Lonchura striata: one gene and its partners. The protein of the gene in region 4 binds, or shares a complex with, the protein of the main gene of each other region. Links are inferred from orthologs where the notes say so. Each region holds a gene or a part of one and is shown on either strand. Other genes may lie near its edges.

What was found.
Region 1: the proteins of MED1 (region 4) and PPARA are in contact, whole or in part, in a crystal structure (PDB 9IWM), measured with the Homo sapiens proteins. The link is inferred for Lonchura striata from reciprocal best matches to the Homo sapiens genes MED1 and PPARA. Residues at the interface, in NP_004765.2 of Homo sapiens: Asn638, Thr639, Asn641, His642, Pro643, Met644, Leu645, Met646, Leu648, Leu649, Lys650; in NP_001001928.1 of Homo sapiens: Val284, Thr285, Thr288, Glu289, Lys292, Phe297, Leu302, Asn303, Gln305, Val306, Thr307, Leu309, Lys310, Pro458, Leu459, Glu462, Ile463.
Region 2: MED1 (region 4) and MED7 share a complex: the UniProt entries of both Homo sapiens proteins name them as parts of the mediator complex. The link is inferred for Lonchura striata from reciprocal best matches to the Homo sapiens genes MED1 and MED7.
Region 3: MED1 (region 4) and MED13 share a complex: the UniProt entries of both Homo sapiens proteins name them as parts of the mediator complex. The link is inferred for Lonchura striata from reciprocal best matches to the Homo sapiens genes MED1 and MED13.

What each region holds. Positions count from the first base shown.
Region 1 is NC_134607.1:4,995,205-5,002,753, reverse strand, and holds the start of PPARA (peroxisome proliferator-activated receptor alpha), read left to right. Parts: upstream 1-4,498; 5' UTR 4,499-4,547; intron 4,548-5,462; exon of another isoform or gene 5,463-5,626; 5' UTR 5,627-5,742; intron 5,743-7,549. UniProt on the Homo sapiens protein: Ligand-activated transcription factor. Key regulator of lipid metabolism. Activated by the endogenous ligand 1-palmitoyl-2-oleoyl-sn-glycerol-3-phosphocholine (16:0/18:1-GPC). Activated by oleylethanolamide, a naturally occurring lipid that regulates satiety.
Region 2 is NC_134617.1:4,516,932-4,524,153, reverse strand, and holds MED7 (mediator of RNA polymerase II transcription subunit 7), read right to left. Parts: upstream 2,678-7,222; 5' UTR 2,623-2,677; intron 1,653-2,622; 5' UTR 1,635-1,652; coding exon 942-1,634; 3' UTR 688-941; downstream 1-687. UniProt on the Homo sapiens protein: Component of the Mediator complex, a coactivator involved in the regulated transcription of nearly all RNA polymerase II-dependent genes.
Region 3 is NC_134622.1:9,291,213-9,298,896, reverse strand, and holds the start of MED13 (mediator of RNA polymerase II transcription subunit 13), read right to left. Parts: upstream 3,210-7,684; 5' UTR 3,087-3,209; coding exon 3,021-3,086; intron 1,208-3,020; coding exon 973-1,207; intron 1-972. UniProt on the Homo sapiens protein: Component of the Mediator complex, a coactivator involved in the regulated transcription of nearly all RNA polymerase II-dependent genes.
Region 4 is NC_134627.1:7,131,467-7,139,164, forward strand, and holds the start of MED1 (mediator of RNA polymerase II transcription subunit 1), read right to left. Parts: upstream 3,276-7,698; 5' UTR 2,908-3,275; coding exon 2,691-2,907; intron 1,270-2,690; coding exon 1,163-1,269; intron 1-1,162. Other genes in the region: CDK12 (cyclin-dependent kinase 12), read left to right, coding at 4,419-5,458. UniProt on the Homo sapiens protein: Component of the Mediator complex, a coactivator involved in the regulated transcription of nearly all RNA polymerase II-dependent genes.

The DNA of each region.
Region 1 (7,549 bases), on a different chromosome or scaffold from region 4:
AAAGCTAGACAAGGATAGATAAGCATTGATACTGGGAAAATTGACCAGTGACAGCATAAGCTGATCAAGGCATGCCAGGGAATAAATACACACTGCAGAGGTGCATAGGAGGACAGATTAAAAAGAAAACCAAGTAGAAATTGCTAATAACTGTATTAAGAAACACAATCCACTGAACATTCTGTCTTGCTTCTTTGTTGTGCTGTGTCATGCTCATGGACAGGCTGTGCAGGGAAGGAGCCGGTTTCCTGCAGGCTTGGTAAAGGACAGTAGAGATTGCACCAGAAGTTACGGGAAAGAAGATTTGGGAATTGGAAGCAGACATCAAAGGGGGTACAGAGTTGACGTAAATAGAAAAGAGATTTGAGAGGGGACAGTGAAAGTTAGCTTTAGCTGGAGACGGGAGAGAATGAGCACCAAAAGATGTGTTGCAATAGCCACTCGTGAGTAAGATTTGAATCACAGCTATGGGGGCGACAACAGGGACAGATTTTAAGTATATTGCTCAAGAAGAGAAGCTCAGTGACATGGATAAAACACCAACTAGGAAACTGAGATTGGGGAAAAGGGGTAACAAAGGCTTCACTGAGCCAACAAAACAAAAGTAGGAGCAAGTGGGAAACCTGGATCAGAAAGAAACTCTTTATTTGGAACAGGAAACATTCAAATAGTATTCAGTTCAAATGACTGGAAATACAGGGGTAAGTAAATTAAAATGAATTAAACAACTAAATTAAGAGTACATTTATTTCCAAGGATAATAGGGAAAAACCTGCCAAAAAAAAGGAGGAAACCTGTTCCCTCAGTCACACTATGGCAAGCACCACATTCATCAAAGAAAGGAAGGAGCAATCCACCCCAAAAGGATAATAACAAAAATTCGTCCCAGTTCAAGATACCAAGCAGTGATATGTTTTCTAAAAATGTATATGTTTATTATATTAAGCTTAAGTGATTTCTAGCAGTCCCCAAAGATCAAAAACAAAACACACAAATAAACCTGGCAAACCTGCTGAATCTGGTAATGCAGTATCCAGCACAAAAATAAATGTATAGAAAAGGAATATTACACTGGAGAAAGAAATCATTCAGATGAGAAGGAGGGCAAATTTGGGAAAGAATAGCCACAGCTGAGTTTTAAGAGTAATTGTTTATTGCCATAAGGTGTTTTCAAGTCAGTCTGCTTCCTCCCCATCCAGCATGGGCTCTCCCTCAGAAGAAAGATTTGGGACATCCTGCTTTACTGTAAGAAAGGTGCTTGTTCTGCTAATAGTTTTCTTTAAAGAGCTTTTTTTTTTATTAAAACAAAGAAATTAAACACACTGGTTGTAATAATGATGAGAGGGTAAACATTAAAAAAAAAAAAAAAATCATCCATTCTCAACCTGACTGGCAATCATGTAGTGAAAACCCACAGCAACAATGACAGTACCAGCATAAAGAGTAATGAAAGGAGTTCTAAACATTTTGGCTTAAGAAGAGTTAATAAGTTTAAAGCACCATGATCTTACATGCAACTGTTCTGAAGTCTTTTTCACACAGGAAGAGATTTATGGACACCTGCAATGTTTGATCTTGATGCTCTGACAAGTTATGAATTGTTTCAGTAAGTGAAATGAGCAAAGTAACTTTCAAACATGAAAAGAAATTATCTGAATGACCAAGGCTATACCTTATATAGATGGGGTGGCATGGTAAGCATCTCTAACAGAAATTAAATGTAAGTAACAGCTTCATTGCTTATTTTGTTGGGAAATATAATCTCAGCTTTTTTTAAACATCGAATGTCTAAATAGTTTTGTGGAACAGTAGGCTTGTGTAAACCTGTAAGTTGCATCCTGCTTCCATCCATAACCTGTCATAGGAAAATGAGGTAAATGAGCCTCATGTGACTTATCTAAATGTTTTCATTTATCACCTTTAGCCTTAGAGCTTTGTTCTAATCCAGGAGAGAGACATGCATCTAAAAACAACCAGCCCTCAAATCCAGCCTGACCTAAAACCAACAGCAAAACAAAGCAGCACAGATATTTCTGTACCCAGACTGCTATGCTGGGAGAGAGCTTCATAAGGAAAGCTCAGGGTGGATACATCTCAATGGTCTCCTCTGCTTCACCAGTTTTCTTGACTGTTGTTTGGGGTTTTTTAAGGGGTTTGATTTAATGAGAGAGAACTGTGCTTTTAGCAATTATTTGCATACTGTGTATATTAAATAAATCAGATTTAATCCTCTCCTCTTCATTATTACATGGGGCTTTTGGCTTTGACATATTTTGACCAAGCACAAAGGGGCAGGATCCAGCATGCACAAAGTTATACAGAAAAAGAATCAAATTACACTTTGACAGTTTTCTGGACTTCTGCTAGTGACCTCTGCTCATAAAACTTGTTGCTTTGTGATTGTCCAGCCTCTTCTATTCTTTTAATAAGAATGATTCAAAGATTAATGTAATTAATTTTCCATTAGTACATGTTAGTTCTATAAGGCTTCAGTAGGCAGTCATAGAGAAACAGAACCCTGTGTATGCTATTTCAGCTGATAAAGTGCTGGCTGCAGTACCGGGTCTCTGCAGTTCCCACTTCAAATAAATACTCAAATGGGAAGGCTCTATGGCTCTATCGACTTTGTAGTGGAAGTATTTCACGATGACCCAGCAAAAACAAGGCCCATTGTCTGTTAAAATCTCTATCATCAAATCAGCGAGAGAAACCACAGCAAATATTTGAGCTCAGGGCCAGCCCACTTCCTGCATTCTGCCAGTAGCTGGAGGAGGAGGCAAAGGCACTGCCAATTCTCCCTGCTATGGTCTGTCCTCCCAAACTTCTGAATGAGTCTGTGCTGACTTGGAGCTGCTCATCTGCTCCCACAGAATTGTTATGAGAGACTCCATATCTGGCCTTTAAATAAATGAAAAGGCATTTCTCTTTTGCAAATGAAAATGTTTTCTGTTAGAAATGCTGTGTGTGGCTGTGCAGGCGTCTGACAAAGCCAGCTGGCTACTGGAAAGATGGAAAATCAACAACTGCACAAATGTGGCTGCGTCTTCCACAACTGTCAAACTGTTAGGCAATTGTAAAAAGGTTATTGCACATTAACAGAATATAAAATTAATTGAAGGTTATTACAGCTAAAAACCTAGTAAATCATCTAACTTCTGATTTCTAAAAACTTGCACATTTAAATAACTAATGGATTTTTATATTTAGTATGGTATTAAGATTTAAACTGTGATACAAATTTACACGATCCAGTAATTTTCGATAATCTACACTTTAAAAGCTCTTTCAGTACAGAATGGTTTACTGCAGTCTACTGTGCAAATATTTAAAGTGTGACATGGATTCTCCTCCTTTGCCACTTTCTGCAACACCAGTCATTTTCATGGACAAAATGTTTCCAAGTTCTTTAGAAGAATCACTTCCAGAACAGGGGTTAAGAGCACTCTCCTCCATGCCTGGAGTAACACAGCCCTCCTTGCTGCAGACGGAACTTGCTACATGTTTGGTGTAGGCTGAGGAGCCCACAGTTCATAAACAGGAAACAACCCACAACTCATTTTGAATTCCAATAAATATTTTGTGTTTTACTGCCTTTGGGACAGCACTTGTGTGTGAGTCAGGACAAGATGAGGTGTGGATAAAAAGCTGAGTCAGCCTGGCATGTCCCTCACTGGCAACTGTGGCAAATCCTTCAAAACGTGCATATTCCCCAGGCAAAAGCCTGCATCCATTCCAACATCTTACTCTAGAAAATTGTACTGCAGCACTTGCATCATGTCACCTCACCTGTGATGAAATATGTAGGTGTTAAACCTGGGTATTAACCTGCTAAATCAACTGATTCTTGTGGCATAGGGTGTTGGCCCAGCTTGGGACAGACCATGGAACAGCTCTGGTGGTTGAGAAGTTAAACAGTGACCAGAGCTAGTTTGAAACACTTTGAAATACTTTAAATCAATATAGGGCTTTTAGTTATCTTCTTTTTTCCATGGTCAGTATTGCCTTTTGCTGGCTGGTCCTGAGCCATGCCTCGGGGCTTTTCAGCCTCCACAGTCACTGTTGTTTCTGCACTGAGTGCTCTGGTGTCCAGGGCCATGTGCTAACCCCAAATTTATGATAAATTTATGGAATTAAGTGTAGTGCTCACTGTGCTATGGACCAAACCCCAAAACAGTGCTCTCTTCCCTTTCTAGACCTCATTTAACTTCCCACTGGAAACCTCTGAAGTGAGTCCTGTTTTATCATCCCGGTACTGTGTCATTGACTGCTCAACTCACTAATTAAGTGAGGTTCCTGATTAAATTTTGGTTTTGACTGGTTAGTTGGTTGGTTGGGTTTCTTTCTTCCCCACACGGAACGCAAACGTGAAGGCAAGCACGCACTTACATATTCTGAGAAGTGTTTCGCGGAGCGGTGGACGGGCGCGGCCACGGCCGTCCCTCAGGCCGGCGGCGCTGCCGGGCCCGCAGCGGGGCCGCCCTCCGGCCGCGGGGCTTCGAGCGGCCGGCCCGGCGTCCCGGGGCTCGGCCCCTCAGCCCCGTCCCCCGGTACACAGCGGGGGCTCGGAGGGAGCTTGGGCCGGGGCTGTGAGGGGTCTGAAGAGTATGAAGGCAGTGAAGGCAAGGAGGAGTTTGAAGTAGGGGGATGTGAGGGCAATGTCGGCAGTGAGGGGTGTGAAGGGAGTGAGGGCAATGAGGAGTGTGAGGGCAGTGAGGGTGTGAGGGCAGTGAATGGAGTGAAGGCAATGAGAGGTGTGAGGGCAAATGAAAAGGGCGAAGGAAATGAGGTGCGTGAGGGCAGTGAGGGGTGTGAGGGGTGTGCGGGCACTGAGGCTTGTGAGGGCTCTGAGGGGCGTGAGGGCACTGAGGGGCGTGAGGGCACTGAAGGATGTGAGGGCACTGAGGAGTGTGCGGGCACTGAAGGGTGTGAGGGCTCTGAGGGGTGTGCGGGCACTGAGCGGTGTGCGGGCACTGAGGTGCGTGAGGGCACTGAGCGGTGTGCGGGCACTGAGGGGTGTGCGGGCACTGAGGGGTGTGAGGGCACTGAAGGGTGTGCGGGCACTGAAGGATGTGAGGGCACTGAGGGTTGTGCGGGCACTGAAGGATGTGAGGGCACTGAGGGTTGTGCGGGCACTGAGGGGTGTGCGGGCACTGAGGAGTGTGCGGGCACTGAAAGGTGTGAGGGCTCTGAGGGGTGTGCGGGCACTGAGGGGTGTGCGGGCACTGAGGGGTGCGAGGGGAACGGGGCCGCCCCCGCCCCGCCAATGGCGCACGGCCGCGGCGGGAGGTGTGTGCCGACCTCACTTCCGGGCCCTGTCACCGCCGCTCCGCCCCTCTCCCGCTCCCTCCCCGCCGCCGCTCCTTCCCCGCCGGCAGCCGGGCCGCGGCCCGCCCCGCCCCGCGCAGCGCGTGGCAGCGATGCACGGTACTGCCTTAGGGGCGGCCTCTACCCGCGCCGCGCCCGTGTCCCGGCCGGGGCGGCGGCAGGAGGCGGGAGCGCTCGCCCGGCATTGGGTGACGCCCCCAGCTCGCTAGCGCGGCGGCGGCTTTGCTAATGACCTGTCCTTTCTTCTCCTCCCCTCCCGTGCTATTCGCTGTTACTCCTCTCCCGGCCCCGCGGTGCGAAGCCCTCGGCGGAGCGGCGGCGGGCGGCAGGAGGAGGTAGCCGGCCCGGGGAGATGCTGTAGCGGCTGCGGGAACGGGGCCGAGGAGCTGCAGGACGGGCAGAGCCGGCCCGGCGCAGGTAAGGAGCCGCACGGGGAGCGGGAGTTCGGGGCGCTGGAGGTGGGAACAGAGAAGGGGGCAGTGCGAGGGGCTGGTTGGCGACTGTCGTGTCTCCTAAATGGAACAGCTGGGTTGCCCTTATCCCGGAACGAGCTCGGGCACTGGGCAGAAAGTGCGTGCTTGGGGGTTCCCGCTGTTGGCCCGGCTCAGTCGGGCGGGTTGTGCTTTTCCCGGGCGGCTGCTCACAGGAGGGTCCTCTGGCCTGAAACCAGGAGCAGGTCAGGAACGCCTCCGGGCCTTATTCTGTGGTTTGCCGCGTTCTTGGTTGTCCCTGTGGGGCTGGATACTTGCTTTTCAAAAAGCATTCCAGCAGTAACAAAGGAAAGGAGTGTGAAAAGGTGTTGCCTTGTATTCATATTAAGATTGACCCAGTCTCACTCAATGATACAGGAAGCTGTTCCTAAGCTCTCTGATGGAAGTAGTATGAGCGCAGGATTCGTCACACAGGATTATCTGGAATGATTATGTTTGGCACTTTTAGCATTGGGTGTCTTAGTAGTACTGCACTAATAAAGGTGTTGCATAAGTTTTGTTGTGAAGGAAAATCGTGGTCAAACTCCTTGCATTACAGAATATGCACAGACTTTCTCATTGGCATCTGGCACTGCTCACCTATTAAAATTTGCTTTGCAGGCAGCAAAATGGATCAGCTGTAAAAACTATTTCCTTTGTTAATCCTGAATCATTGACTTAGCATTGAGGCTGCTACCTGGTCTCGTGCTGGAACTGAGGCACTTGTGGTTCATGTGATGTGGTCACACGTCTGCTAAACCTGAACCAGTATCATAACTTTTGTTGGCTGGCATGAGCTACGGAGCAGCCATCAGCTCCTGGTGACTTTGAGTGGCAACTTTGGGAATTTCAAGTAATACAATGTAGTGTATTGGAAGGATGAGAGTATGCAGAGCTTATGGGAGATTTGTGGAACTCCCCAAAGAGCATGCTTGCTGTCTTTTCCCATGTTGGGAAGGAACTCTTAGTATGGTCCAAAAAACATTCTTAGCAAGCTGTTGGTGCCTTACATTGACTGTCATCCTCTACAGTCAGGTGCATATGGTGTTTTGGCTACTTATTGGAAACACCTGGTGGGTTTGTAATTTGCTTTTCAGTAGTTCTTTAGTGTCCTCATTTTCTGTTAATAGTAGTAGTCTTCATAAAGGGTATTATGAAATTTAAACCATGGAGAGAGTTAGGCTTCAGTTGTGATTTTGTGTTGTTATGCTTGTAATAGTTCACGTGCAGAATGTTATAAGAATATAAGGGACAATAATGTCCTACAGGAGAGTAGGATATATGGCCTGAGATATTTATCTTGTTCTAAAGAATGTATTATAATGCTCACTGTTGTCCCAAAGCAGGCAAGGAAACATAATTTTCTTATTATTTTTTCAGAAGCAGCTTGTACTTCAGAATTGCAAACAACTCTATTCTTGTCCTTACTTTTATATAGCTTTCTTGATGAGATTTGGGTTCTAAGTTCTGCTTCTATTGCACATGTCATATTTTTGCAAGGGAAAAAACAGAGAACACCATACTTATCCTGGAAAATAAATGAAGCTGAACTAGTATTTATTAAATGCACAAGCATATTTTTGTACATAACTTTGGAATTTAAACTTTTTTTTTTAATCCAGTTTTTCAAAATCTCTCTGCATCTCTAATTTGCCTGATATGTTTTAGCTATGTATGCTTATTTATATATATACAGGCCTTATAAAGTATATAAAACCAAAATCTCTACCTTTGAGATGTAAATCCTCAAAATA
Region 2 (7,222 bases), on a different chromosome or scaffold from region 4:
CCTGTGATCAAGGGCCAAGAAATGCTCTTTGCTGAAGCAGCTAAACTACTTCACAGTGAAATGAAGTACTAAGGAGCTATTTATGAGCAAGTGGAAGATGTTAGAATTGGAACCTTGCCTTGCATGACTGCCTTATAGGAGAAGAGAGGCACCAAACTGACAGCAGTTTTAAGGGAAAATCAGGAAAACCAAGGGATTAATGTCTGAGAGACAAACTAGCAATACACTTGTAGGAAAGAAGTGATAGACGGATGAAGGTGATTTTTGCATGCAGCAGCTGGAAGTAGAACTCCTTAAGAAAAGGATTCCTCTCAGCTCCTCTGGTTTCTGAGGAAACTGCAGACAGCTGCTAGAGGAACAATTCTGATAATTACCAGGAGGATCCTGAAACTGCTCTGCAAAAATGGGAAAGGCAGGGCAGGCTGTCTCTGCCAGGATCCCAGGAAAGCCATTCAGGTCACACAATAAAAGGATGTGAGAGCTACAGGACACCAGTTAACCCACTTGCTTTAGATTTCACCTCAAACACAGACCATAAGGATTGCTTTCGTGTAATCAGAGTTTCTGTCTGCCTGTTTTCCAAGTTCCTGTGTGTTGTTTGTGCAAAAAACAAACACCATTTTTGTAGGAATTTCTTCTTGACTCAGCATAAAGAATTATAGAATGGCATACCCAAAACAATGAAAGTACAACAGGAAAAGCCAACTTTAATCTGTGCCTACGACCTCACATGCTACATTTAACAAAAATTAGACTTTTTATTTTTTACCAAAAAACCACAAAACTTTAAACATTTTCATCTGCCCAGTCACCCACAACCTCCAACAGGTGCACAACAATTGCTCTTTCTGCTTGTACAACAGCAAAACAAAATACAAAATGCATCCTCAGAACCCCTTCTGTCTCTCACTGCGGTGCATTAACAAAACCAGCTGTTTGCTTCATGTCATCTCATCAATAATGCTGCACATTGCTGCATCTTTGTCCAAAACCTGATCTCTCTTGCCACCAGAACGCTCCCTCTGTTTTTCGCTCTGTCCAGCACAGCTGCTGCCATCGTCAGTGTCCATGGGCTCCACGCTGACTCTCAGTCCCCCCTCTGTGTGAGGCAGATCATCGGGCAGGGAAGCCAGGCAGTTCTGGATCATCTCCACCACTCGCTCCAGGTGCTTCTGGAAGCGCTCGGCCGTCTCCAGGCGCTGCCGTTTCTGCACCTCCATCATGACCCTCAGCGTCTCCCTGGCCTGGTGAGGCCGGTACTCATTTATAAGGTGATGCACGTGGACAAAAAGCAGTTTCAAGTCTTCCAGTTTCTCCTCTCGCTTTATACTCCCTGGACTCCTTATCAAGATGTCCAAGAGGTCCAGGAAGTTGACCAGGATAGACATGTTAAGTTTCCTTAACTCCTTCTTGTGATCAAACTGCATAGGATGCAGCCGTTCGATCCCCTGGCTCTCCAGGGGCCGGATGATCAGATCATCACACTGGAACTGGTTGCCAAACATCATGTAGCTGTCCTTCACAGGAGGAGGTGGCTTTGGAGCCAGGCCTTTACGGATGTTTTCATCAGTGTATTCTTTGATATATTGCATTGGAGGCGGAGGAAGGGCACTCACTTGCTGAGGTTCACCCATTTTTGCCAGATGAAATTTCTAGGGAATGACCCAAGAAACAAATGTTAACAATTTGTGTCACAAGTTTATAATATAAATGTAAGAAAAGACAAAATATGGGAGATGGCAGTAAGAAAATGAGCAAGAAGAGACAAATCCATTTGCAGAATACAGGAAACTCCTGGCAAATCCACGTTATCTTTTCACTAAGATTTACTTATACCAAGTACTAGAAGCACACAAAACACTCATTTCTCTAAATATGAAAGAGCAGCCTGTAAACTAGGCAGCCAAAGGGAGAAGGGTGACCCCCTTCCCTAGATGGGTCCTGGTGGGCAAACCCCCCAGAATCACCGAATATCCCAAGCTGGAAGTAATACACAAGGATCTGCAAAAGCCCTGCACAGGACACCCCAAAAATCTCCCCCATGGCTGACAGCATTTCCCAAAGGCTTCTTGAAGTATTTTAGGCCTGGGGCTGTGACCAAGGAGAGCCTGGGCAACCTGTTCGGTGCCCAACTACCTTCTGGAGGAAAAACCTTTTCCTAATATCCACGTAACCCTCTCCCGGCACATCTCCAGCCGCTCCCTCGGGCCCTGTCACTGGCCTCAGAGGGCAAAGATAGGCGCTGCCCCTCGGGGGGAAGCTGCAGCCCGCGGTGAGATCCCCCCTCAGTCTGCCCTTCTCCGGGCTGGCCAGACCGAGTGACCTCAGCCGCTCCTCGTGCGGCCTCCCCTCTTCACCCGCGCCCACGAGAGAAACCAGGCAGGGCCCACACCCGCCGCCCTGCCCTGCGGAGGAGGGAGTTTGGGGAGGCCCAAACCCCGCGGCGGGGCTCGCCAAGTCAGTGCTGAAGAAACAAGAGCCGGAGCCACGGCCCGGCGGAGGGCACGGGCCCCTCGGAGGGCACGGACCCCTCGGAGGCCTCACGGGCCCCTCGGAGGCCGCACGGACCCCGCGGAGGCCGCACGGACCCCGCGGAGGCCGCACCGGCCCTCCCGCCCTCACCTGCCCGCTCCGCCCGCCGCGCTCCCTCAGCGCCGCCGCAGCCGCTTCCGCCCGGCCGCCCTCTCCTCTCTCTCCCTATTGGTTGGCGGCCTCGCGGTGCCGCGCTCTGATTGGCTGTGACGCAGAGCAGTCAGGCGCTCCTCCACTCAGCTCGCTCGGGGGCGGGGCCAGGCGCGGGGCGTGGTTCCCGGTATGGCGGGGTGGGGGTTGCCCCATCCTGGGGCGGTGGGTACCTTTCAGAGGTCTGTGACCCCCTCAGCGGTCCGTGACCCTCCCCAGCGCTCTGTGACCCTTCAGCAGTCTGTGGTCTCTTAGCGGTCTGTGACCACTCAGCGATCTGTGACCCCTCAGCGTTCTGTGACCCCTCAGTGTCCTGTGCTCCTCAGTGTCCTGTGCCCCTCGGTGTCCTGTGTCCCTCAGTGTCCTGTGCCCCTCGGCGTTCTGTTCCCCTCAGTGTCCTATTCCCCTCAGTGTCCTGTGCCCCTCGGCGTTCTGTTCCCCTCAGTGTCCTGTTCCCCTCAGTGTCCTGTGCCCCTCGGCGTTCTCTTCCCCTCGGTGTCCTGTGTCCCTCAGTGTCCTGTTCCCCTCAGTGTCCTGTGCCCCTCAGTGTCCTGTTCCCCTCAGTGTCCTGTGTCCCTCGGTGTCCTGTGCCCCTCAGTGTCCTGTATCCCTCAGCGTTCTGTGCCCCTCAGCGTTCTGTGCTCCTCAGCGTTCTGTTCCCCTCAGTGTTCTGTGCCCCTCAGAGGTTCTGTTCCCCTCGGTGTCCTGTGCCCCTCAGTGTCCTGTTCCCCTCAGCGTTCTGTGCCCCTCAGTGTCCTGTATCCCTCAGTGTCCTGTGTCCCTCGGCGTTCTGTTCCCCTCAGTGTCCTGTGCCCCTCAGTGTCCTGTGTCCCTCAGTGTCCTGTTCCCCTCAGTGTCCTGTGTCCCTCGGTGTCCTGTGTCCCTCGGTGTCCTGTGTCCCTCGGCGTTGTTCCCCTCGGTGTCCCGTGCCCCAGGAGCGGGCTCCCTCGCCACCAGCCGCTGTGAGGCAGCGGGAGCGCCGGGGCAGGAGGGACCAGCCCGGCGGCCCCGGGAGCTGGGACAGCGGGGACAGCGCTCGTCAGGGCGGCCCCGCTGCTGGGAGACAACAGCATTACGGAACAATCACAGGAATCACAGAACCAATCCGGTTGGAAAATACCTCCGAGGTCCCCCTGGGAAGTGTTTGCAGCCATCCGGCAGCAGAAAACGCTAAATCTGACCATAACTGACAAACAGTTGGGCTCCGTTGCTTTTCTTTCCGTTTTCTTCCAGGAGGAGTTGAAGTTAACATGGTGGATGTAAGTTTTTCACCGGGTCAGGTGGAGCTGGGCTTGCTGGCATCGCTTCTGCGGGATTTTCTCCCTGAAATGGCCAGCAAGGAAGGTTTTTTCGATACTTGGCCGTTTCTGTGCCGTTCTCTCTCCCTCAGCAGATGGCAGCAATGGCCTGGGTGTTAGGGACCCATCACCGCACACGCAGTGTCACTTACAGATTCACTCTTCCAGATCGATTCTTTACTAAAAAAAATTCAGTTGAATGATAATTACTTTGGATCCTGCTAATTATTCCTAAAAACATGCAAAGAAGATCCAGAATCGTTATACTTATTTGATGAGAAAGCCTGAAACGATGTACTGAATATCTGAATATTTATATATTGCAAATTAAGCTACACTTTACAATTTACAATGAGTTGAATATTTAAATATTCCAAACTGAACTGCACTTTACAGTGAGTAAAAGCCTGGCTGAAAAATACGCTGATTTGTTTTCATTTGTAAGCAATTTGCTGAATTCAGACAAGGATGCAGTTCCATGCTGCAACTAAAACGTTTTTCCTTTGGAAAAGGTGATCTCATTCCTTCACTTCTATTCCTGCTTCTTTCTTCCCTCTCTTCTTTCTTCCCTCCCTGCTCCTCCAGCCCCTCACTGGCTGTGCACCCTTTTCTTGTCATTGCTTGTGCCACCACCATCAGGCACTGGATTGCAAAGCAAACTGATGCAGCTCCAAACCCATAAAACATTACTGCAGGGTTTTTTTTTGTAAAGTTTTCAGCTTTTCTAATGAATTAACATGCTGTGCTGTGTACCCTGTGAACATCAGGGAGAGGTTTTGAGAGGGGACTGTGCATAGGCAGAAGGAAAGGAGGAGGCTGGGAACATGGGGTGGGGAATTGTCCTCTCCATTTCTGTGACAGAAATCTCTTATCTTGTCTCAAATCATCTTGTTACATCATACTCTGAAAGAAAGATAAGGAATAAAAATCATTGCCTCCAGAGATGCATGAGATAACACATGTAGTAGGAGGTACCAACACATCCTTGGTTTCATTGGACTTTCCAGACTTTGATTTCACATTCTTTTTACAGGAGCTGAGCTTGATTCTCTAGTGCCTTGCACTCAGTGAACCATGCAGCAAGGATGTAAAATGCTGTGACTTCAAACAGGAGCAGGCAGAGAGAGCCATGCTCTTGTTTTTCCCTCGATCTCTGTGATCTTGACGCATTTTCTGTATGATGGTGGCCAAGACAGAGGGAATATAACATCGATGAGTCTTGCTCTTGGTGGCAGGGCTGCTTCTCAGAAGACCCATGGATGACCCTTTCCAGCCCACGGGGAGCAGCTGACACTTCTCCTTACAGTGCTTCTAAATGAGAAATTAAGAATGACGGGGAATCTCAAGTGTAGCACTCTGCAATTTGCTTCTTGCTCCAGTCCAGCTCTTTTCTGAAATAAGGGCACTATCCAGTACAAGCCTAGCACTGGTAATGAAGCACAATTCCTACATCATCTCCAGCTTGTGGGAATGAACTTCGACACCCCTTCAACAGATGGTGAAAAAGTACCATGATATTCTCTGCCTCAAAGACTCAATATCTTAATTTATAGCTTTGGTTAAGTTTATTTTCATTTTCTTCATAACTAATTTTATGCAAATTGGCATGTTTCAGTAGCAAGCACTCCATTTCTGTTAATTCAGCAGCAGTGTGTACAGTGTGTGCCATTGCAGTATGCTGTTATTTTAGCAGAACTGGAATCCAAACATTGTACAAGCACAGTAAATATAAACCCCACTTTCAGGCATGCTCTTAGAACAGTGCTTCTCTCTTCTGTGCTACAACAGATTTCTTTCATTTCTTGCTGCTATTGCACTCTAAATAATAAATAAATAGATAAATAGATGTGTGTGTGTTTTTCTCATGTTGTCTGAAAAACAACGCCAAAGTCAAACTCGGTTCCAGTCTCTTCTTGGGCGTAGGTTAGGGTTAGATCTTGTAGCCTGGTTAAGCAATGAGCTCAGGAATTTCCTTTTTTGGTGATTGTTACAGGCTTTGTTGCAGGATAAACCAGGGAGGAGGGCAAGAGAAAAGGAGCCTGTTGGGGGTGAAGGAGACTTAACCAAGCTTTATGTCTCCATCTGCTGTGGTTAATTCCCATCTCCCTGCCTCCCGCTGTGGCTTTGGGAGTGAATGAATTTGCAGTGCAGTACTGTGCAACCTTTTCTTCCTGACTCCTCAGACTAAAATATCAGCTGCAGCCTATTGGCACGCCTGCTGAAGTAGGAGTTTAATGTTCCCATCATGTGAAAACTGGGGCACAACACAGAGCAGTGCATGACAGCTAAACTGTTTCTTGCTCTATGGCCTGTTATCAAACAGATTCAAAGCTCAAAACAGAGCTTTCATGGTTATTTAGCAATAAACCAGGTATCTCACTACAATTAGGAAACTGATAGGGCTCAAAATCCAGGCATGTTTTGATGGAATCACCCAGCACTCCTTCCTATGTTCATAGTCATAGTATTGTCTCAGGAAGCAGCCCCCCAACCTGATTTTTGAGCCAGACATTAATGCTGGGTGTTTTCTTGCTCACATGCCTGTTGTAACTGTTTATTCAAACATGTAAATGAACATGTCTTTAAAACAAACATGTAAACAAGTAAATTAACATGTCTTTAAAAAATGCATCTGCATGGCACAAAGAAGTAATTCCTGTCCAGCAAACAGTGACCTGGGTACAGCAAATGTGTTGTATTGCCAGGGCAAACCCTGGGATCTGCAGCAAGTTTTGCCAGCAATGCAAGTCCCACCTTTGTCTTCAGAGGGAGACAGAAACAGACAGGAACCATGATAGCCAGGCACTAATAAAAGGAGCTGGAACAAAATCCCAGTTTGGCTATGGCTCCCATGAAACGAGTTTTTCCTTTCTGCATTTTTGCCTAAGAGAGAACAGCTGAGGAAAGGATTAATTGTCCCTTTATCACAGAAGAAGGGACCTAACCCTGTGCAGCTTCTCCAGTATAAAACACGTGCTCTATATTACTGCCAATACTGGGAATAATTCACTTCACGAATGATGGATAATTCACTACATCCTCCCAGCAGATGCTCAGAACAAGGCATCCCATTTCTCAGGGCTCCCAAACAGTTCACAGGAGGATCTTGCTCTGCTTCTACAACTCCCTGGGTCACTGGGAGCAGTGTGAGGGGATTCAAAGGTGCAGTTGTAACCTCAAGGAAAGCTGGATGCATCTGGTTCATAAAGACCAGCTAATTCTTCCCTTTTTCTGCAGCTTTC
Region 3 (7,684 bases), on a different chromosome or scaffold from region 4:
AAGTCAACTTCCTCAGTGGCACTTTAAACTCCAGTTTGTTTTCCAGCTTATCCACACACACACAAGCAGCATTAACAATTTCTGGTTACCAGGTCACCAAACCTTGGTCTCATTTTACACTTCAGTAATCTGAATACTGTACATTATTTGAAAGGAAATCAGAGTGATGCGTTTGTTGGGTGTTTTTTTCCCCTCAAATGAGTTCAGTCTCACCTTTAGACTCACCCAATTTAAATATCTAACTTCGTCACCTTGCTGATAAGCAGCTGGAAACCATCTACGTGGGGAATCGAGCTCAACAAGCAAACAGTTCCAAAGGAAGGTGCCAAATTTGAAGTACAACATTGTTGAGAAATACAAATATTGTCAGTCTTTCAAAGGGCTGGGTTTGAAAGCAGGTTCAGGGCACCAGGAAAAGGGGGGGAGAGGAATCACAAAAACTGAAGGTTTACAGATTTTGCATGGGAATAGCTGGTTAGTTCCTGGTGCCTCCTTCTGAGGGCTTCTCACTGATGGTGTGAATTCCAACCAAAACAACTCCAAACAGTTCAAGAGCTGCCCAGATCTCTACACTTCTTATTACATAATGAGTTTTACTATTTGAATTTAAAAATTCTAATTGCCCAACAAAAGGGATCTTATCAAAACATGTTTAAGACATCACTTGTGAATCACAGGCACAGCTTTCAGCACAGCTTTCTCATGAAGAAGCTGCCAAAACTCATAGGCTTGTGTTTTGGTTTTTTTTTTTCCAAGGGAACAAGTGGGGAGCAAAACCCTTGTTTCTTGAAAATCCAGCAGTCCAAGGTGAGCTGAACACAGAGCAGATGGTTGATCATTGCTGTAATAATTTGGTGAGGGTTACAGCAATATATTTCTATTTTCTGGAGACAACACTCGACTTGGTGCAGGTGTCAGAAGCCAGCCCTGAGTACTTCCAGTGACCAAAGGATGGTGTGAGCAAGCTCCTACCTGAGAGGTCATGATGGATCAGGTCAGCAAAGTTGGGGTCATCCCCCCACCAGAATATCCAGAGCTCCCTGCGCCCAGGCCTCTGGTCCCGGCGCCAGACGCTGAGCACGTCGGCCTTGAGGCAGCGGCTGAAGCTGCTGAGGATGGGATCCTCCTCCGTCACCGGGAACAGGATGGGGGCAGACGTTGGGCCCTGCCACACGTAGCGCTTCCATTTAATCCCAGTCAGATCAGCCTGGAGAGAGGAAAGAACTGTCAGGGCTCAGGCAGCTCCAGCGAGCACATCCTGCTTCGAGGTGATGGCACGGGGAGAAAGGGATCCCTCAGAATTGAAACACGTTGGTTAGTTTTGTGTGCCTTAGGAGGTACATTGGGAACAATCGGGGATCCTGCTTTAATAGCTCATTAAATAACTGCAGTAAAGCAAGAGTTGTTTGTTTGCACTGCAGCTTTAAGGTTACACAGAGAAAAATCAGATTTGATTTAAAGTAAAGAGTGAAAGACGAGTGAGTAATGTTATTATTCACAGACTGACACAGTCCAATCTCCTAAACACTTGCCTTAGCAAAGAACATCTTTGGCTTTCTTTACTTGTGCATACACTGCCTTTTCCATCCAAGATTACTCCATGGAAATAGGTGATACAGTAAATCACACATTCTTCCAGCCATCTACCACTTGGGAAAATTTCACAAGTTTCTCCATGGTAAAAAATTCTGTCTTTCCCTCGGGAAGTCTCTCGTGTTCACTGATTTTACCAAGAGCTATCATACTTTTCATTCCTCACACCACATTTCAAGGATTTAAATCCTCGTTAGACCTGCAAGCACGTTGATAATGATCCACTAAACCCCTTCCTAGGCAATAATTAATTTGACTTTACACAGGGCAAGAGTTACTACTCTGTGTAATGGGAAGCAGACAATTCCTGGATTATCTCCACCACAACACCAAGTTTTAGCTCTCAGTTTTGTCACTCAAGCACCTTAAGGCAGGTAGGGGAGGCATTGCCCCGGGTTCTCTTTGGGAAGGCAGAGCAAGGCAGGCTGGCATTTGCTAAGTTACTATTTTTTGTCTTCCCAATATGACAACACACAAAAGATTACTGCAACATTTAAACCTAACATGGCAGCCTCCCTACCTTCAGCAGGAGAGCAATTTGGATGAAAGGTTGTCTGCAACAGTTGCTACTTGAGAAAGACTTTCAGATTTAAAATTGTACTATTAATCTGGAGCTGCAGGCCTGGTGCAGGCTGCAGACATAGTCAGGCCGTCCAGATTCCCCTCCATCCAAAAATACGAGTGCCACAGATTGGCACAGGATTGTTGTAACAATCTCTGGAATCATAAATATCAGTCAGACAGCTAAGATTAGCTCATTTGCATTAAAAGCTGATGAAACAGCTCAGCACAGACACCAAAAAATTGCATCACAGTCCAGTTATATCGAATTTACTTTTGGAGCTACCAAAATTCAACAATATGAACGATGTGCTACTTGGCTTAAAAAAAGACTACAAAATGGTGCACATCAAAACACAAGACAGGCAGGGCATCACCAAAAGCAACCCTCCAGAATAAAAGCAAGCAGGGAAAGGGATCCGTTTAAAAGCGAGGAATACGGGAGGTTTCGCCTGGGATGTCACGAGCGAGGAGGGAAAAGAGAAAGTTCCCCGAGATGTGGGGCCGGGAGGAGAGGCAGCAGCAGCTCCCTTCCCTTGTGAGAAAAGGCTCAGAGGCAGGGATAGAGGGGAGAAAGGAGGAAAAGTTGGAAGGCACGGAAAGGGAAGGAAAAGGCGAGTTGCGGGGAGGCTACTATCCAGGAAGAAAGCGGAGGGAGGGGCGAGGCGAGACAGACAGCGATGGAGGGGAACCAGAGGGGCATGGGAGAGTTGGCTGCTCCAGGCAGGGCCTACTCCGAGGGCTCATCCAGCAGAAGCTCTGCTAAAAATGGCTGCTTTGCTTCCACTGCCCCTTCCCCCTCCCCAGAGCTCCCAGCCCTTCCCTCGGTGGCCCCGGGCGAGTGTGCGCCGGGGGCCGACACTCACCAGGCAGAAGAGGTTGGAATGGCAATCCTCCAGGCTGGCCCCGTTCGGCACGAAGCAGGAACTCATCCTCACAGCCACAACCCACACGCCATTATCCCACAGCCTCCGACAAGAAAGAAAGAGACAGACAGAGAGGGAGAGAGGGAGAGAGAGGGAGAGAGGGAGAGACAGACAGCGAGAGGGAAAGGGGGAGGGGGGCTCTGCACACGCACAAATAATAATACAATTAAATAAGGGATTTACAGACACACGCACGCGAAATAGTGGCAGGGGGAATAACCCGCGAGGAGAGACAGAGAGGTATAGGAGAGGGGGGTAAAAATATATTTAAAAAAATAAAATTAAAAAAAAAAATTAAAGAGGAACTCAGAACGTTTTTTCGTCTTCTGGAGCTCAATCGGGGGTGTAAAGCCGCCGTGGAAGGGGAGAACAGAAAGAGGGAGGTGGTAAGTAATCCAACGACGGGAGATTAAGATCAAAATCCTCCCTGTTCCTCTTGTCTTCTCGTTCGCATAAGGAGGGGAGGGAGAGGAGGTAAGGTGAAGGGGTAATTGATCCAACAAGAGAATAAAAATGGGGTAATTAATCCAGGGGGCTAGGGGTAAAAATCAGTTGACATCCCTCCTTCCTCTCTTCTCGGATGCCAAGCAAGAGAAGCAGGAAAAATAAATAATCCAGCGGGGGCAATTAATCCAGAACCCCCCCTCCTCTTCCTCCTGTTCCTTTAGTCATCAGATGAGAAAGGGGCAAATTGTGGAATGACTGGGAAGGATTGGCCGTGGGAGAGAGAAAAATCCAGGCTCGTCTCTTCGGAGTCCGAGGGCAACAGGGTGTGGGGGGGTCAGATTCTTCTCCCCTGCTCCAAAAATATTCCAAATAAATTAAAATTTAAAATCATAAAAACAAACTTCAGGGGCCAGAAGCAAGGCCAGTCTGAAGAATTCGTAAAGGCAGAGCAAGAAAAATTTCCTGGGGTGTACCCCAAAAAAACATCTGCGGGGGCAGGGGAGGGGGGAAGGTATTCCTTGAGAGAGAAAGGCCGCAAAAGTCTCCTTAGCAGCCCAGCGGGGGATTAAATTCCCGTGTGGAAACCCCCCCTCCCCAAAACGAAATACTCCTCGCAGCGAGGGCGAAACCAAAATATCCTCCGCTGGGTAAAAATTCCTTCCGTGGGGAGAAGGAGGGAGGGGAGAAGGGTGGAAGGAGGAAATTGCGGGTGACCCTCGAAGTCTCTTCGGGGAAGGATGGAGGAGTCTCCGGGAGGCCGATCCCCAGCCTTTTCGGGGGAGGAGGAGGCGGAAAATCGCAGAGTGTCTTCGGGGAGCCTGGTCCTCCCCAGCTGTCCTCGGGGGCTTCGGGGGGACCCCGCAAAGTCTCTTCGGGGAGCCCGGACCGCGCCGAGTCACGGCGGGGAGGGGGCAGCGACCCCCGCCAGACCCCCGGCCGCGGGGGGGGCGAGGCGGGACCGGCTCGGCTGCGAGGCCGGTCCTTTAAAAATAAAGGGGGAAAAAATAAAAACAAACAAAAAAAAAAACCAAAAAAAAACCCCAACAAAACAGCGGGAAAAAAAAAAAAAAAAAAAAAAAGGCGGGGTGGGGGGTTGGAATATAAAAAACGATCGTCTTCGGCCGGTGTGTCCTGGGGGGCGGGGGAGCCCCGAGAGCGCTCGCTGCCCTCAGGTGCGGGTCCCCGCGGGGGCGGAGGGCGGAGGGCGCCCTCGCCGAGGCTCCCCGAGGCTCCCGGGCAGGGCGGGCAGGCGGCGGCCGAGCCCCGGGCTCTGCTCAGCCCCGAGGGGTCGGAGCCCCGCAATTCCCGGCGCCGCCGACACACAGGCGGCCGCTGCTGCCGCTGGCGGAGTCGGTGCCGCCAAGCCCCCGCCGGCGCGTCGGCTCCCCTCAGCGGTGCCTCTGTCGGCGGCTGCCCGGCCGCGGCATCCTGTGGCGGCGGGAGCCTCAGCGCGGGTCCCCCATGGCCGGAGCGGGCGCGGATCCGGCTCCCGGCTAATTCCGAGACCCTTTTTCTTTAATGGCGGCCGCAGGGACGGCGGTCGGGGCCCCCCTGCCGCGCTCCCATTGGCCGCCGCGCCGTCACGTGGGCGCGCACCGCCATGGCCGCCGGCGCCGCTGGGGGAAGGCGGGTGCGGCGGCGGCGCGCGGCCGCCAGGGGCGTGCGGGGCGCTGCGGAGCCCCCGCCTTGCTCGTTGGGGCGGCGCCATCTAGCGGCCGCGGGCGGCGGCGGCGGCGCGGGTTCGAGTCCCGCTCCCGCCGGGCCCGCGGCTCCCGGGCCGCCGGGAAGGGGCAGCCCAGAGCACAGGAGCATGGCTGGGACACTGGCACCAGTCCTTGGACGCTTCTTCACCTTCTTCCTCTCGTTCAGACATCGGTTCCTGCCCGTTGTGCCATGTCCTGGCAGCACGGGGCAGAGCCTGGCGCGTCTTTTGGCACCCCCAGTTCGATAGTTACACACCCCTAAGGCCCCTTATCCCTGCCGGGGCTCCTGTCCGTTCCTGGGGCTGATCCCGGTTTGGCCCGTGAGGGTTGGACTCAGCAGTCCCGGTGGATATCCCGGGATTCGGAGCCCAGCCCAGGGCACGTCCGGTCAGCCTGGGCCAAAGTCCGGGCACAGAGTGTCCCCCAGCACAGGAACACTCGCCTTGGCTCCCCTTCCTCAGCTTCCACCTCTTGGCAGAGGATTCCCCAGATCTGCACCACGGAGCAAATTCCAAACTGAGGCCGTTGGAGCCTTTTTGAAAAGATAGGCAAGAATTGTGAAAGCTGATTTTAATATTTAATGCAAGTGTTAATGCTCTCACTAGTTCCACAGACAGCCTCTCTGCCAAAGCAGAGCCCTACTCCAAAACCCATTTTTTTCCATGCCCAGATCCATATTATGCAGTTCAAGAGGATGAAGTAGGTGGCTTCTCTGTTACTACATGCACAGATTTGCAGAAGGACTGTGAGATTATTCAGAATTAAGATGCTACAGTGACAGTGAAAGCTATTTTTAAGAGATGTTTGGAAAGTGTATACATCTTACTAATCCTCTCATATTACACATTAATTTTCTAGGCAATGCCTTGCATGTAAAATGGAAAATTTTAAATTACTATATGCAGAATTTTTACTGCAGTGTTCAAGCGAAAACACAAACCAGTGTAAAGCAGCTAAAGTCAAAGAAAGCCCCGAATGTCTCAGCTAACCTGACATTCACATTAAAATATGATATGTTCATGCAACAGCAGCACGTTGATCACAACTATGCAACACGATGATGTTTCAAAGGCCCTGCAAATTATTTCAGGACTCCTGAACAAGACGAGCGACAACCTTCTGCAAATGTCTTGATAGAGTAGGAGGAAAGAAGGACACTCTATAAATAAACTTATCATATAAGTTAAAAAAAAAAAAAAAAAGTGAGGCTAGATATATTCGCCAAGAGAAACTTTGAAGATTTACTCACACTGAGCCTATTTTTGTATGCCAGTGTAGGCAAGCAAGATTCTTCTTTTCATCTAAATAGAAGCAGAGTATTTTTAAACGCAGGAGATTCATTCCCTCAGTGCTCATCGAAACACGGCAGCTGGGGCCGGAGCCGGGATGCGGGGGGAGGGCTCCGGGGGGAAGCAAACCCCTTTCCAAAGGGAACAGATGGTTTTCCCTGGGCTGGCTGCAGCCCAGGGCTGCGAGGAGCATTCCTGGGTGCCCGGGGCCAGCCCGAGCCCCTCGGGAGTCCCAGCGGCACCGTGATGTCCCTGCGGGAGAGGTTCTCAAGTCACTCTTCCCCACGGAGAAATCCAGGGGGATGGAGGACATCGGGGAAAGCGGCATTAAGCACGTGGGAGATGGTATGGGTGTAGCACTAAGAGGAAAAATAAATCATTTGGTAAAAGGGGTTTGGTAGATTTAGATATCCAGGATAATGGTTCTTGCAAGTCTGAATTGATTCCAGGATCATTTTCCCATTTCTTGTCCCTCAAACAGCACAGCTCAGTGTCTGGAAGAGAGGATTAGTGTCTAACACTGGCTTTGGTGTGGCTGCACCTCCCAGTTTTGAGCACCTCAGCTCATTTCTCCACATAATGCATTTTGGGATCTGGTTCATCAGTCCTGGCACATTCATCATAATAAACCCTTCTGTAGGATCCCAGCACAAGTGCAGAACATCATTTATCCAGTAAACCTAAACACAGGATAAGGAGCTGATAAAATATCTACAAAAGAAGGAAGAAACCTAAGACATCAACTGGGGAATTTTGAACTCAAACCCTTCCTGGCTCAGAACCTTGAAGCTTTCCCAGTCCCATGCACAGGACCTGAGAACACCAAGACACAATGGAGAATAATCCCATCCATGGCAGGTGAATTCTGCACCTGAAACACTGCTTGCCCTTGGTACTCTTTGGGAAATAAAGCCTCCTGGAAAACAGAGAGGAGGCAGATTAAAAAAAGAATTGAGAAAAAAAAAATGCTGTTGAAAATGTGCTTTGTTTTGTAGATAGGTTCTTATAGAGTTCTCATCTCTGCAACTTCCAGAAGTGCATTAAGCTGCATAATTAGCATCTGTCACATGAAGCTTTTTCCTTCCCTCTTCCTCTCCCTAGAGGGAACCTGCATAAAGAAATTTTAATATAAATTTTAGTATCTACTCTGCGCAGTGCAATCATA
Region 4 (7,698 bases):
GCTGGAAGAACAGAATGTAGCAACTTTTTATAGGTCTAAGCTGAGAGTTTTAGAAGAGGAGACAGAAAAATAAAGAGTTGGGCAAACTTTTAACACATGAGTGTGGGCAGGAGGTTTTGTTGTAGCTCTCCCCTGCCTCCTGCTGCCACACCAATATTTTAAACCCATTTTTGACTAAGCCAGGGCTGAGTGTTGAGTGTCACTGAACAAACTGTTCCACAAAACAATATCCTGGAAGGGTAAATAGCAGGAAATATAGGTTTTACTCTTTCCCTGGCACTGAACACTAATTAGGGAACGGAAAGGCACATCAGGCTGGGCAGGTTTGGACATCCCTCCCTCCCCTGCACCACTCAGGAGAGAGTGAAGCCACAGTGCTGTGGTTTGACATGAGAAAAAGAATCTTTTCAGCAGGAAGAAGTTGATGTAGTCAGGGGTCAGGTGTAAATATTGACACTTAGAATAACCAACTGAAAGTAGACATGCTCTTAATATAGAGGGGTTAAAGGCTCTAGAGGAAAATGGGGGGGACTGTAGCCCCAAAATTAAACACTAGACTGTTGTTCCTCTTGGTCCTTGGCAAAGCATCCTCAAAGGAGCCCAATGAGCAGTCTCTGTCCATGCACGGTGGTGAGAGCACAGTGACAAAAAGAGGAGTGTCACACTGGCAGATTCTCTCCAGGCAGTGCCACGTGTGACACAGAAACACAAGAGGTGGCAGCTGTGTTTCCTGGGGGTCTGTAGTGCAAGGGAGACTCCTCTGTCCCCTCTTAGACTCAGTATTGATTATATATTAAAAGGTAAATACTTCATTAAGAGTCCAAATGTGTGTCACTGTAGTTTATTAAAGTTAGATAGTAAGAAGAGGAATGTTTTGAAAGGTTTTAATTTCAAATTTTATGTGTGCTTTTCTTTTTTTTCTTTTATACTAATATAGCAGTAGTAGCTTAATAAAGCTTTTTTTTCCTTTTTGTTATTAAGCTTCGCCTGCTTTATTCTCAATCACATTTCACAGCATCCAATTAAGAAGCTGCATTTTCACGGGGATACCAGCATCAAACCATGACACATGGACACAACAAAAAACACCTGGAAAAGGTCTAAAAACCCAAGAGAAATCCTTCAGCAGAGGAGCTGCAGCTCAGAGCCCAGCAATGCTCACCATGACCTGTCTGACCAACTTGATGGTTTCTGTCCAGGGCCGGTTCTGGCTGTACTTGGCGTGGAGCCTCTCCAGGAGGGAGCTCATCTTGTTCAGCTTCTCTGCCTCTGTCACACAGGAACACAGTGAGCCAACTTTGGTAAGTTCTGCAAACCACTTAAACAACACAAAACTTTCCACCTTTAAGCTGAAAATGACTTCAAAGAATTTGCTAACTGCTGGTTTAACCCCAGAGCTTGAGGTGAGGTTAAGTGTTACGGAATCTCCCAGGCTGTTAAAACTAAAGGACTGTGAAAATCTTATGGATTTTCCTGGAAAATGCTCAGCTCCTGTTCTGCACCATCCCTGAGTGATGTGGCCTCAGCAGGTTCAGTTCTGTCAGGAGAGGATCCCCAGAAACTGAGGCTGTGGGAAACACGGGGTTAAAGCAGTGAGGTGGGTTTTGTGTCCTGGATCCCCTCTCTGGTCTCTCTCCCCCAACTTCTTGAAAGGTCCTCAACACCTTCCACCATCAAAAACCTCAGCCAAGTCATTCCAGCTGCCAGTTCTGCCAAATTCTGTGCTCAGACACGTTCCTGCCCCACAGCAGGACATGGGGAAGCGGCTGGAGCTGTGCCAGGGGGGTTCAGGTTGGATTTTGGGAAGTTTTTTCCCCCCCTCAGAGGGTGCTCAGGCAGTGGAACAGTTCCCCTGGGAATGGGCACAGCCCCAAGAGCTCCAGGAGGGTTTGGACAACGCTCTCAGGGATTTTTGGGGTGCCTGTGCAGGGCCAGGAGTTGGACTGATGATTCCTGGATTTTGGGAATTTTTATCCCCTCCCAGAGGGTGCTCAGGCACTGGAACAGCTCCCCAGGGAATGGGCACAGCCCCGAGGCTGCCAGAGCTCCAGGAATGTTTGGATATCACTCTCAGAGACAGGGTGGGATTTTTGGGGTGCCTGTGCAGGGCCAGGAATTGGGTTGATGATTCCTGTAGAGCCCAGAGCCCCAGGAATGTTTGGACATTGCTCTCAGAGACAGGGTGGGATTTTTGGGGTGCCTGTGCAGGGATGGGAGCTGGGCTTTGATGGTCCTGGGGGTCCCTTCCAGCTCAGGACATCCCATGGCTCCACAATCAGCTCCAAGCTGAGGGCTGCTGTCCCCTTGTGCTGCTCCATGTGCTGGGGGGGATGAAGCAGTGGATGAGTGATAAAGAGAACATGGTTCTCATGAACACTGAAATCCAGTGTTTTATTGCCAAGAGACAGAGCTTTTCATACTTTCACGTCAAAAAAACCATCCCAGTGGACGTCATTCCAGAATAAACCCTGTCCCCAGCCCCAGAGGGTCCAGTGCAGACATGACATTTTAGTGTCACCTCACAGGAGCCTGTGACTTCCACCTGCCAAAATTCCACAGTTTGGGCTCCTGATTGATGCTCTGCTAGCCCACAGACCTCACATTGAGCCCTCCAAACCCAAGTGTAAGGAAGGAATGAATGAATGCTGGGTGTTCTGGAGCCTCCTGCTCTGCACACATTGCAAACCCACCTGTGTCCCCTGCTCCAGCTGACCCTGCCTTGGCAGAGGGGTTGAACTGGATCATCTCCAGGGGTCCCTTCCAACCCCAGCTACTCCGGGATTTGTTTTCAGGCACTTTACACCTCTCAGCTGCATCAACACAGGATGCTGCAGGTGGGAAGGGACCCCTGCAGCTCACCTGGTCCAAGCCCCTCCTCAACCAACACTGAGTTGTCCAGAATCCCATGAGAGAGCTGGAAGGGATCTCTGCAGATCACCCAGCCAGGCAGGGTCACCTGGAATGTGCCCAGAGACCACTCACCCTCCCTGGACACCCTCCTGGAAAGAAGCTCTTCGTCATGCCGAGGTGGAACTTGCTGTGTTTTATTTTCCGGCCGTTTCTCCTCGTCCTGCCGCTGAGCAGAGTCTGAACAGGGCTCTGACAGCCCCTAGCGATATCTGCCCGGACTGATAGCATCCTCATCCTCCTCTCCTCCACAGCAACCAGGCCCAGCTCCCTCCACCTCCGCACAGAGACTCCCCACACCTCAAACCACCTTTGTGACCCTCGCCCGTTTCACTTTCCGGGCCGCCACCTCAACCTCAACCCGAATGCGGAGCCTCGGATCCGCCGGGCCGCCCTCCTTCCCTCACGGAGAACCGGGAACCCCCGCGCCCCTCGCGCCGCACTCACCCTCGGCGCTGCCGGGCGCGGCCTTCATATTGCAAACGCGGGGCTGGTCTGGACTGGAGAGAGGGAGCGGAGAGGGAGCGGGAGCGGCGGCGGCGGCCGGGCCGCCCTCGCCCTCACACGGCGGCGGCCGCCGCCATCGCTGCGCCCGCGGCCGCGCTCCCGCGCTCTCGCGAGACTCCGCGGGAGCGGGGCGGGGCTCGGCGGCCAGCGCGCCCCGCCCCCTCAGCGCCCTGGAAGCGCGGCGGCCGCTCCGCAGCCCCTAACGGAGCATTAACCGCTCGTTAGCCGGCGGTGCGCCGGGGAGGGCTCGGCAGCCACCCGCCGGCGGCTTTAGGGCGCGGCGCGGCGGAGCGGGAGAGCGGCGGGAAAGGGCGGGGCGGAAGCGGCGGCGCCGCCGCCATGGGAGCTTTGTTGCGGGCCGGGCGCTAGGGGGCGCTGTCCCCGCCCCGCGCCCCGATTAAAGTTCGCTGGGAAGGAGCCGCCGCGCGATTTGGCGGCTCTCGCGAGAGGACGAGCGCGCGGGCCCCGCCCATCCCCCGAGAGGACTCGCGGACGAGGAGGACTCGCCGGGGAGGGAAGGAGGGAGGGGTGGCGGCGGCGGAGTTGTCGCGAGAGTTGCGGGCGGGTCTCGCGAGAGTTGGCGGCGCCCCCCGGACGGCGCCGCTCCGGTTCGGGCAGAGCGCGGGGGCCGCGCCGGGGGCGGCGGCGGCTCCGGGGCCCCTTCGGCCGGGGATCCGCGCCCAGGCCCCGCCACCGCCGCTGAGGCCGCGGGCAGCGCTCCGGGCCCCGCCTTCCCGGGGCGGCCGCGCTGCCCGCCGGGCCTGGGCCCCCCTCGGATGAGGCGGTGAGGCCGCGGCGCTTCCCCCTCCCCTCCCGGCTCCTTCCCCCCCCCCCGCCCCGGCCCGTCCCTCCCGCCGCCTCCGGGGCTCGGGCCCCGCTCCCCGTGTGAGGAGGGAGCAGCGAGGCCGGCGTGGATGGTGCGAGGGGCGGGCGCGGAGGGAGTTTGAAGTTGGGGGTTTCCGCCGAGTCCGCCCCTCGCCGTTCCCGAGCGCAGCGGGGGAGGAATGCCAAACCCGGAGAGGCATGGGGGCAAGAAGGACGGCGGCGGGGCGTGCTCGCAGCCGGGCGGCGGCGGCTCCAACAGCAAGGAGAGGCACCGGGCGGGCTCCAGGCACAAGAGGCACAAGTCCAGGCACTCCAAGGAGTCCCCGCTGGCGGCCCAGGAAGCGGCGGCGCCCCTGGGAGCGGTGATCAAGCCGCTGGTGGAGTACGATGACATCAGCTCGGACTCGGACACCTTCTCGGACGATGTGGGCCTCAAGCTGGACAGGAGGGACAACGACGAGAGGAGGGCGGAGAGGAGCGAGAGGGCCCAGAAGCACCGGCACCACCAGCACAAGCGGCTCCGGGAGCTGATGAAGAGCAAACAGGCGGAGAAGGACAGGAAGTTGGAAAAGAGCCTGGATGCTTCCAGCAGGTCCGCCAAGGAGAGGATCTCGGGATCCTCCAAGAGGCTCCTGGAGAGCGAGGAGCACCCCAAGGCGCTCTCCTCCTCCAAGAGCAGCAACAAGGAATCGCGCTCGGCCAAGGCGCACAAGGAGAAATCCAGGAAGGAGCGGGAGCTCAAGTCCAGCCACAAAGAGCGCAGCAAAAGCCATCGCAAAAGGGATGCTCCCAAAAGTTACAAAACCATCGACAGCCCCAAGAGGAAATCCAGGAGCCCTCACAGGAAATGGTCGGACAGCCCAAAACTGGACGACAGCCCTTCGGGAGCTTCCTACGTGCAGGAATACGACCTCAGCCCGCCCCGCTCGCACACCTCCAGCACCTACGATCCCTACAGGAAAAGCCCCGGCGGATCCTCACGCCGCCAATCCCTCAGCCCGCCCTACAAGGAGCCCGTGGGTTACCAGTCCAACGCCCGCTCGCCCAGCCCTTACAGCCGGCGGCAGCGATCCGTGAGCCCCTACGGCCGGAGGCGCTCGTCCAGCTACGAGCGGGGCAGCGGCTCCTACAGCGGGAGGTCCCCGAGCCCCTACGGGCGCCGCCGCTCCAGCAGCCCCTTCGCCTCCAAGCGCTCCGTCAGCCGCAGCCCCATCGCCAGGTGCGTGTGCCCCGCCTCGCCCCGGGAGCTGGGAGGGAGTTCGGGAGAGTTTGGAGTGATGGGATACAGGGGGGGATGGGTTCAGGTTGATGGAGGGTGGGTTTAAGGTGGGATATTGGGGAAAAAATTGTTCCCTGCTGCGCTTGCCTGAGGAAGTTGTGGATGCTCCATCCATGGTGTTGTCCAAGGTTGGATAGGGCTTGGAGCAAGCTGGGCTAGAGGAAGGTGTTCCTACCCATGGGATGCTCTTCAGGGCGTTTTCCAACCCAAACCACTCCGTGATTCCGTGATTCCTCCCCATTGCTGCCCAGTGCCGTGTGTGGAGTTGGCTTTGGCTGGGAGCTTTGACCGTTCCCTTTGGAAATGGGGCTGACACTTTGGGAACCGCCTCTGTGCCTGGCGGGAGGCAGCGTCCATGTTGGCTGCGGGCAGGGAGGGAGGCTGGAGGAGCTGCTGGGATTAAGTTACACCCACCTCTGGAGTGGCCCCTTCGTGGGGAGGCTCCCGGAGCAGGATCTAAGGCGCTTACCTGCTGGGAACTTCAGCCACGGGGAATGTTTTCACCTATTTCTGGAAGCCTTTATCTGTTTACTGCGTGTGGGAGCGTGATCCTGCTTTTCAGGAGGGCTCGTTTGGGGTGGATTTTGCTCTTCCTGAACTGGTTTGTCTTTTCTTTCCCCTTGGATTAGAGGCAGCCACGTGCAAACTCCATCTCTCAGCCTAAACTTTCTTTTCTCAGCACTAGAGTTTCTTCCCTTCTGAAATGTGGGCAGGCTGGAAGGGCGAGGAGCAACCAGCTGGATTTTGGCTTATCTCTAATTTTCTCTCCCCTTTTACTCAGTAACTTTGCTCCAGAAGGAAACAATTATTTCAAGGTAGCTCTGTGCGTTTTATTTCAGGTGTTCATTAATCATCCTGTGACATAGTCTAATGTTGATCTTTTCTTTCTCTAGCCCTGGCTTAACGTTCAGTGAGTTTCCAGTTGTCTCCATGGATGCTGTGGAGCTTTGCTTGGAGCTCCATGGCAATTCAGATGTGACCTGGAATGCAATGGCCATAGGAATGCTCTGCTCCCTGGTTGCTGTGCTGCATCCTGCAGCTCAGCAGTTCCCAAAGCACACGGGGCTTTTGGAATTTGGTCTTTGTTACTGCAGCTCTGAACTTCAGGAGTGCTGTCTTCCATGGAGAGCTCGCCTTTGTCCTTGCTGGCAGTTCTGTCTTGGTTTCAACCCCCCTGGAAGCTCTGACGTAAAATCTCTGTATTCCACTGTGATTTTTACAGTGAAAATTTCCTCCAGGCTGCTCCTCCTCTGGCCTGTTTTCTCTGTGTACACCTGGGAGGTTCTCAGGGATAGGCCTGGGTAGTTTTCTGCTCCTTCCCTTCAGTCCTTTTTGCCTGGTGGTGCTACTCTGACACGTTATTTGCTCACCCTTTGGAAGGGTGAGGAAGGTGCAAGGTGTCAGTTCACTGATACAACTCGGAGTTGTGGCGCTGAGGAAATGTCCAGCCCTGAGCAGGGAGAAGCCACTGGGAGCTGCAGAGCAATCCTAAGAGTTTTCTCCCCAGGAGAACCTCTCTGTGTAAGTGGCTGAGTAGAGAATTCAGAGTAGAGAATTCCAGCAGTTCCATTTCCCTGATTTATGGGAGCAACTTCAGAGCACTTTGTGCTGCTTCCCTAAACTTTCAGAGCAACTTTCTAAGGACATCTCCGACTTAAATGCTGGACCCCAAACCAGATGAGTTCCAAAGGTTGCTCACTGTTTACATTCAGCTTGTACCCAACTCTCTGGCTTGATAACTTACTCCTCTCTCTTTCCTGGGCAGATAACTCACTGACTGTGTGAGGTATTCCAGCCCCTTTGGAAAACACCTGCCTGCAGTGACTGTAGCAAAGGGACAGAGGGAATTTCACCTGTTTTCCGTGTGTCAGGTGAAGTGTGAGTTGTAATTCATGTGGTAGCTTTGCTTTGTGGAGCTCCCAGGATGAGAGGTGAGACTGTAGTGGGGGGAGCTCTTGGTCAGGTGTGTCCAGGAGACAGAGGAGGGCTCACCTGAGTGGTTCAGAGCTCACTTGAGTGGCTCAGGGCTCACCTGGGGGGGGCTCAGGGCTCACCTGAGTGGCTCAGGGCTCACCTGAGTGGTTCAGAGCTCACCTGGGGGGGCTCAGAGCTCACCTGGGTGGCTCAGGGCTCACCTGGAAGCTGGGGAAGCTCAGGGCTCACCTGAGTGGCTCAGGGCT